2 linked regions of the Macaca fascicularis genome follow. The protein of the gene in region 1 purifies or fractionates together with the protein of each later gene. This does not show direct contact. Links are inferred from orthologs where the notes say so. Each region holds a gene or a part of one and is shown on either strand. Other genes may lie near its edges.

What was found. The genes of interacting proteins can lie anywhere in the genome.
Region 2: the proteins of ERLIN2 (region 1) and INSIG1 purify together in Homo sapiens (affinity purification with western blotting; 4 studies listed by BioGRID and IntAct, with this or other methods). This does not show direct contact. The link is inferred for Macaca fascicularis from reciprocal best matches to the Homo sapiens genes ERLIN2 and INSIG1.

Annotation. Positions count from the first base shown.
Region 1 is NC_088382.1:41,109,821-41,114,116, forward strand, and holds the start of ERLIN2 (erlin-2), read left to right. Parts: upstream 1-1,500; 5' UTR 1,501-1,964; exon of another isoform or gene 1,965-2,080; coding exon of another isoform or gene 2,081-2,121; exon of another isoform or gene 2,122-2,276; intron 2,277-2,609; 5' UTR 2,610-2,624; coding exon 2,625-2,731; intron 2,732-4,296. Other genes in the region: uncharacterized protein, read right to left, coding at 996-1,500, 2,081-2,121. UniProt on the Homo sapiens protein: Component of the ERLIN1/ERLIN2 complex which mediates the endoplasmic reticulum-associated degradation (ERAD) of inositol 1,4,5-trisphosphate receptors (IP3Rs) such as ITPR1.
Region 2 is NC_088377.1:196,596,942-196,600,441, forward strand, and holds part of INSIG1 (insulin-induced gene 1 protein), read left to right. Parts: intron 1-724; coding exon 725-849; intron 850-1,315; coding exon 1,316-1,482; intron 1,483-1,811; coding exon 1,812-1,911; intron 1,912-3,500. UniProt on the Homo sapiens protein: Oxysterol-binding protein that mediates feedback control of cholesterol synthesis by controlling both endoplasmic reticulum to Golgi transport of SCAP and degradation of HMGCR.

The sequences.
Region 1 (4,296 bases):
CTTAAATCTGTCTAACACCACCGGCTTGCCATCTTCCCGGTGTAAAAGTTTTTCTTTTACTGAAGGCTATAATTAAGTGGACTCTTTCTTTTCTGCAAACAAAATAACTAATAACTTCAGTGGCTGAATTAGAAATGCCCCAATGTGATGTTGGTGAGTAGGGCAGGTTGAGGAAAACGTGAGGCCCTTAGCCTAGGAGACACAAAGTCTGGATTCCAGGCCTGGTCCCACGTTTGCCTTCAGTCTGTATTTACTGGGCACCTAAGGCCCGGGGGTGCGGAAGGAAAGTCAGTCTCTGCTCTCCCGGGAACATACAGTTTATCTAGAAAGACGAAGTGCACAAGCCGCTGTGCACTGTGGCAGGAGTTAAAAAAGCAATGAACTCAAGATATTAAGGAAACACAAAGGAAGCTTTCCTTGGCTTTTACCCTTGAACCTCGCTGAACTTCTTAGATTCCGTTCATTAAAATTAGAATAATTCCTTGTTAATATACTTTGTGGTGTTGCAGGGTCGCAATGGCCAAAGCTCCCAGAAAAATATAAAGAACTCAAGGTAGGGATTTTTGATTAGTGAGGTAATGATGCTAATCTGTACACTGAAAAGATTGTTTCATTTCAGCTGTGCTATAGGAAAACAGTTACAACTCGCTAGTAGTTTATCAAGGCGGGAAAAAAAAAAAGGCAGCGCATGGTGGCTCACACCTGTAATCTCAGCAGTTTGGGAGGCCGAGGCAGGAGGATTGCTTGAAGCCAGAGTTTGAGACCAGACATACCGAGACCCTGTCTTTACTAAAAATAAAATTGTCAAGTGTCCTGGCGCACACCTGTTGTCCCAGCTACTCAGGAGGCTGAGATGGGAGGATCGCTTGAGTCCAGGAGTTCGAGGCTGTAGTGAGCCATGATCGTGCCACTGCACTCCAGCCTGGGCAAAAGAGCGAGACCCTGTCTCTAAAAAAAACCAAAACGAACCAGGTTCGGCCTAATGCAGAGGGAAATCAGAAGCAATCCCCAAAGTCAACGCCTTGGAAAAGGACGCCCTGGGTCTCAGTACTCCGGGTCACGCGCGTCCTGCCGCTCGCTCTCGGGGCGCTCCCACCTACACCGCCCTCATCCCCAGCCCCAGGCCGGACACCCGAAACAGAGGTACAGGACCGCACGGACCAAGCCGCGGGCGATCCCTGGCGGCCAGCTGCGGCCATTGACCGCTGGAAGCGCGAGGGGCGGGGCGCAGAGCGAGCGCGGGGCGGGGGTGTGGTCTTCTCGCGTGAACTGATGGCGTCATCGAAGCGACGGCCCAGAAGGAAGTCGCGTGCTGAGGGGTGTGACGGTTTTCTTGCTCGTGGGCTCGGACGAGTACGGAGCGCCTGCAGGGACAGCCTGGTACGCGGCCCCCGCCCCTTCGTGCGCGCGCTGGGCCTAGCTGCAGCTCCGGTTCGGGGCTGACCCATCACCCTCGGGAGCCTCAGTCCCAGCAGCTTCTCTCCCTCCGCCGGCCCGCTCCTGGAGAGACACAGAAACCCTTTTCTGTCGCGTCCCTTCCTTGAGAGCCGCAGGGGGACGGAGCGGAGGCTATTGGAGCCGCAGTCCCAGCCCAGGGCGCTTGACCCTCTCTCGGAACGGGGCGGGGAAGGGGCGCGAGTGACTTCGGGGAGGGAAGGGCACTGGCAGGAAAGGACGCAACTGCAGATCGGTAGCCGGAGGCCGCCACGGTAAAATAAGCGCCTCGCAGATGTCCGCGCCCGGGTTACGTTAGACCTGGGAGGCAGAATCCACGCCCTGCGTTCACGGGCCCACGCACGCACAGCTGAACTTTGCAGTCAGTCACCATAGTTCCAGATCATTCAGTGTTCAGGATCCAACTCCTCCGCGTCCTGGTGCCTGAACGCGGTTGGACCCAGGAGCCCAGAGGCTCGCAGTTTTGGACATTGCCTTTGTCTCTGACCACGGGCTTGGGGATCTGTCAGGTGCAAAGTGCCAAAGTATATCGGGGGGAGTGTGGCTTCAGGCTTGTTCAGAGCCCTGTCCTGTTTAGGGCCAAAGGAATAACTGGGAAGGTGGATGCGAGGCCAGCGAATCCTACCTTGAAACTCGGCTCGCCTGCTGGCTCTGCCACTCCAGCATCTGAAAGGAGTAAATAATGGTTTCCCTTGAAACTGCAGGCAATTAGGAGTGGGAGGCTCTGACCAGAATTACATAGCCACAACTGCCTGTCATTTGGCATCCTCTGTAATTTGGGCCAAAGTACTGCAGCTGCCTCTCTTCCCTACTACTAGTATGAAAGATTCAGTGACAGCACATTCGTGTTCACAGGAAGATGAGGCTGTGTTCTGAACCCTACCCAGCTGGCACGGGTTCTCCCTTGAGCAACGGCTGTATCCGGAGCCAGTGCTTCCTCAGTGCGGTGGGGGCCCTGATTTCACAGTTGAGGAAAGGGGAACGTTGACTGAGAACGAGGAGGAAGCGAGTTGTAGATCTAGCCTTGTGTTCACACGACACCAGGCTGAATATGAGTCACTCGCAGGGAGCTCAGCTTGGTGAGGTCCTCTGGCTGTTGCGGCCTTTTCTCCTGCACGTTGGACCACACACATTTTCCCGTGTCTTTTCCCTAGGATAAAGGCTCACTGATGGCTCAGTTGGGAGCAGTTGTGGCTGTGGCTTCCAGTTTCTTGTGTGCATCTCTCTTCTCAGCTGTGCACAAGATAGAAGAGGGACATATTGGGGTATATTACAGGTAAGACAGAGACAGGGCAAAGTCGGCAACTTCTGTTAAATAGCTCCCTTTCCTGGTCACTGCTTTCCTAGCAGATACTGCTGAACATCTCTGTTTATATTTCCTTGAACAGGGGAGTCTTTTCAGATTGAGCTTTTTATGTCAGTAACCATGGAAAAGAGAATACACACACACACATATATGTAAATTTAGAACTTCGCTTAGTAGTCCAAGATGATGCCATGGGTGGTGATTAATAAATGTTTATATAGATTTAGAGGCAAAATCTAAAGGAAACTGGTGCTCCTCACAGATCATCCCTAAAATACTGTTTTCTCCTACATCCCTCTGGCAGTCTTAGCTCTACACTGCTAGGTTACCTTTACAAAAGCCAGCTGAGTCCCAGTTCTTGATGGCAACTTGAGAAGGTAGCCTACTCTGCTAATTTAGGATACTCTTTTGAAATTAACATTTCAGCCAGCCTGGGTAATATGTGAGACCCTATCTCTAAAAAATAAAAATAAAAAAATTAATTAGCCGACTCTGTGTCACGCACACGTAGTCCTAGTTACTCAGGAGACTAAGGTGAGAGGATCACCTGAGCCCAGGAGATTGAGACCAGCCTGAGCAACATAGTGAGAGCCCATCTCTACAAAAAGTAAAAAATTAGCTGAGCATGGTGGCATGTGCCTGTAATCCCAGTTATTGGAGAGGCTGAAGTGGGAGGATCACTTGAGCCCAGGAGTTTGAGGCTGCAGTGATCACACCACTGCACTCCAGCCTGGGTGACAGAGCAAAACCCTGTCTCTAAAACTAAATTAAAATAATATTAACATTTCACGAAAAATGAAAGAGCCTGCAGGTTGACTTATGTCAGTCAAAGCAAGCCTTAGGATAGTGGTTCCTACAATAAATTTAGGAGCCCATTATGTCACTGTTTGTTTTATTGGTTTTTTTTAATTCTTTGCATAATATAAAGCAAAGAAGCACTTATAAGTCGGGTTGCTTTCTTTTTAATAATCTCCATGACCAAGTTTTTTGCTTTATGTCTTTGTGAACTCTTCTTATATGTGCTGTTGTGATGCTTATTTCTGGATTGATAACAGCAAGTTCTAAAACTCTGGAATTCCTCTCTCCTTTAATTCTTTCTCCCCATGATCTGCTTACATGTTCCCCAAAAAGGCTTTTAACTTTATCATTTACATATAACTTGATTAGAAAGGTAACTCTATTGCCAAAACATATATTTCAATTACTTATAAAGTACTTCAAATTATTCTTTTGGTTGGTCATGTCAGTGGACTCCAGCATTAGTGCAGGTAGTTGATAACCACATTACTGGACTTAACTGCCCTTATGGATTACCACAAGCCCAACAGATATGACAAAGTAAAACAGACTTCATCTTCTTTTTTTTTTTTTTCTGAGACTCAGCCTGGCTCTGTTGCCCAGGCTAGAGTGCAGTGGCAAGATATCAGCTCGCTGCAACCTTCGCCTCCTGGGTTCAAGCAATTCTCTGCCTCAGCCTACCAAGTAGCTGGGATTACAGGCACCTGCCACCATGCCTGGCTAATTTTTGTATTTTT
Region 2 (3,500 bases), on another chromosome or scaffold:
TCCTCTTCTTGGTCAGGTATTCTTACCACAGCTTGAGGCGTGACCGTGCAGGAACCAGATGGAGAATAGGAGAAGCCCGCGTGGGGCGCTCTCGCCCCGTACTTGCCCACGGGCATGTGTGCACAGTGCTCAGTGCCCAGTACAGTACATGCTAGAACCCCCGAAAATCAACTCCAGGGCCACCCTAGGAGCATGTGACCCAGACTATCAAAGTCACATCAGCAAATATGTATCTCATCATGTGCCCAGTCCCAGTGCTGGGTGGTGGCAGGAGTGTCAGAGCTATGATGTGACAGGGTGTGGACAGATGCTAACCTTTTTATTGTAAGATCGAAATCACACTGGATGAAAAGATAAGGTGAACTACATAGTCATTTAAGTTCTGTGTACTTTAGGCAAATGTGGATATTAAATACAAGGTTACATATTGCTCATGTTAATATGAATAATCCCTGCTTGATTCCTTTCTGTGTTTACTGAGGCATGTTCAACTGCACTAAATAATAGTGATTTTTTAAAAACTTTCTAAACAGTACAATTTTGTGGGAGTGGTACTCAAAGAGAACAAGAATATAAAATCACTCTTAACTATTATGTTATAGCTGATAATTTTTTCTAGGAAAAGGACTGGTTTGAGTAATGTCTTGTGTTACTAATGACCACACTGAAGTTGTGGAACTTAAATCTGCTGTATTCTAACATTGTCATCTTTTTTTTAAAACAGCTGTTGTTGGCCTGCTGTACCCCTGTATCGACAGTCACCTCGGAGAACCCCACAAATTTAAGAGAGAGTGGGCCAGTGTCATGCGCTGCATAGCAGTTTTTGTTGGCATTAACCATGCCAGTGCTGTATCCTGAATTTTCTGTGCTATGTCCAGAGTATCTTCTTAGGTTATATATTGAAGCGTTTTGTTTTGTTATATATTCAAATGACTCCATGTCGTAATACAAACATGATGGTGGTACCTGCCCATTTCAAATTACTAAAAAGAGAAAGAAGAATGGGGCTGTCGATGACTTCATAGTAAAATATATTGTTTTATGGTCAAAATGCTAGCGGCATTTTATATATAGCTTTCAGCAAGTTTATTCTTATGGTTAAGTTTTTGAGTCAATGATGCCAGGGAGATTTCAGGTGATCTTGGTGATTACTGTAGCCTGTATCCAACAAATCCTTTCTTTAGCTCATTACACAGTTTTTATGGACAGTGAATTATTTGTATAAAATACCCATGTTTTTGACCCTTGTGGTTTTCTTTGTGTTTTTGATCTTATTAAGAATCAGCAGACTTTTCCTTAACTTTTACATCACCAGAAATTGGATTTTGCCAATAACGTCCAACTGTCCTTGACTTTAGCAGCCCTGTCTTTGGGGCTTTGGTGGACATTTGATCGTTCCAGAAGCGGCCTTGGGTTGGGGATCACCATAGCTTTTCTAGCTACGCTGATCACGCAGTTTCTCGTGTATAATGGTGTCTATCAGTAAGTATGTGTTTTCAAATATTGGCTTTGGAAAGCTTGCTTAACTTTCATTAAAACATCCACAAAGCTTAGATAGTTTCATATTTTATTTGGTTTTTATATAGAATGATCTAGATTTAGGTACAAAATTCTAAAAAACGCTGCTATCCATAACTTAATGCAAAGGAAAACCAAGTAGTAGCAGTTACAACCAAACATTCAAATATGAACGTTTTGTAGCATTTCGTGGTTGATATGCATTCTGCATATCCCCACTACAGAGAATGTTTGATGCAGAATTGAGCCAGGTGAAACTGGCTGCTAAGGCACGGTTTCTTTTCTTGCTCCAGGTATACATCCCCAGATTTCCTCTATATTCGTTCTTGGCTCCCTTGTATATTTTTCTCAGGAGGCGTCACAGTGGGGAACATAGGACGACAGTTAGCTATGGTGAGTGAAATGATCATATTATATTATCTTCTAAAACTTGCGTCTCTTTACCTTGATAGAATTACTTTACATGATACATTCAATTTTGTGTTTATATGTTCCGGTTCAGACTTGAGTGACAATTACTGAGAAAAGGTTGTATTTTAAAAAATAGGTAATGATACCCAGGTAATTCTTTGCTAAATTATAAAGATTTGTAGATTCATAAATTCATAATATTTGATTTAGAAAGGAACTAGAGCCCTCCCACTGCCCCTTTGAATTGCAGATGTGGTCGGTGTTCTGAATTCTTGAAATTTGTGTAGTAAGCAGTAAAGAAAGTGACTGGTGTGTGAGTGTCCCCTCCTCCTTCGCCGTCAGAAGCAGATCTGGATGACCTCGTGCAGTGACACTTTGCTCCCTGAGCATCAGTCCGCCGGTGTTGCTTTTCACAAAATCAGAGTGGATGCAGATGATGCTGGCCTCTTAGTCCACAGTCAAGCAAATCGAGCCTGAGGCTCCAGAGTCTGTCTTGGGCCAGGGCAGGGCCTGGTGTGGGCGGGTAAGGGGACAGCCTGGTTCAGACAGGCAACACCCTTCTGTGGGGCAGGTGGCCCTGGGCATGGAGGAGTGGTGATGAGAGCACCACTGCACGTGGCCGGGTCACCGTGTAGATGGACTGTCCTGCCTGAACATTGCACCTGTTCTTACTGCAGGAGAAAGCAGCTCTACCCCACAGAGCTTCTCTCACAGCCCCCCTGAGGGAGATGGAAAGGTAGATGAACTCCAGGATGGCTTTAGCAGTTCTTAATTAGTTAAAAATTGGCATCTTAGCACTTTAATTTAAAAAACTAGAGGTGAACTTTTAAATGTTATTTTGAGTTGACTTTGACTGGCAGGCTGAAATAAAGTGAATTAAAAAAAACCTAGAGCTGTTCCTCTCGGAGATAAGCTCTGGGACTTTCTCGGAAGACTTATCTGGGCACCTCATGCTATTTTTAAAACAGTACATTTATTTTTGCCAGCTGATACCTCTGTGAGGAGTTGAATTTGAAGGCCACTTGGCTGTTTCACAAAAACAGAAGTAATTACAAGTAGAATTTGCAGTGTTCCACTGGTTACTGAGTCTGTGCTGCCAAATTTCTCATGATGGAGAAGAAAGGACTTTGCTTGCCTTTTTTTTTTTTATTTTATTTTATTTTTTTTTTATTTTTTTTTTGAAGACAGAGCTCACTGTGTCACCCAGGCTGGAGTACAGTGGTACCATCATAGCTCACTATAACCTTGAACTCCTGGGCTCAAGCAGTCCTCCCGCTTCAGCCTCCTGAGTAGCTGGGATTACAGGCACATGAAACCTTGCCTGGCTAACTTTTTTATTTTTTGTGGAGATGTTATCTCCCTGTGTTGTCCAGACCAGGCTCGAACTCGTGGGCTCAAGCGATCCTCCCACCTTAGCCTCCCAAAGCACTGGGATTTTAGGCGTGAGCCTGGCCTTGTTTTTTTTTTAATATTAAAAATCTGGTCGAATGGTCCCACATGAAAATACTACATTGTTTTCGTGCATTCGCCATCATTCCTGTTATAGTCTTCAAACGAGAGCTAGGCAACTC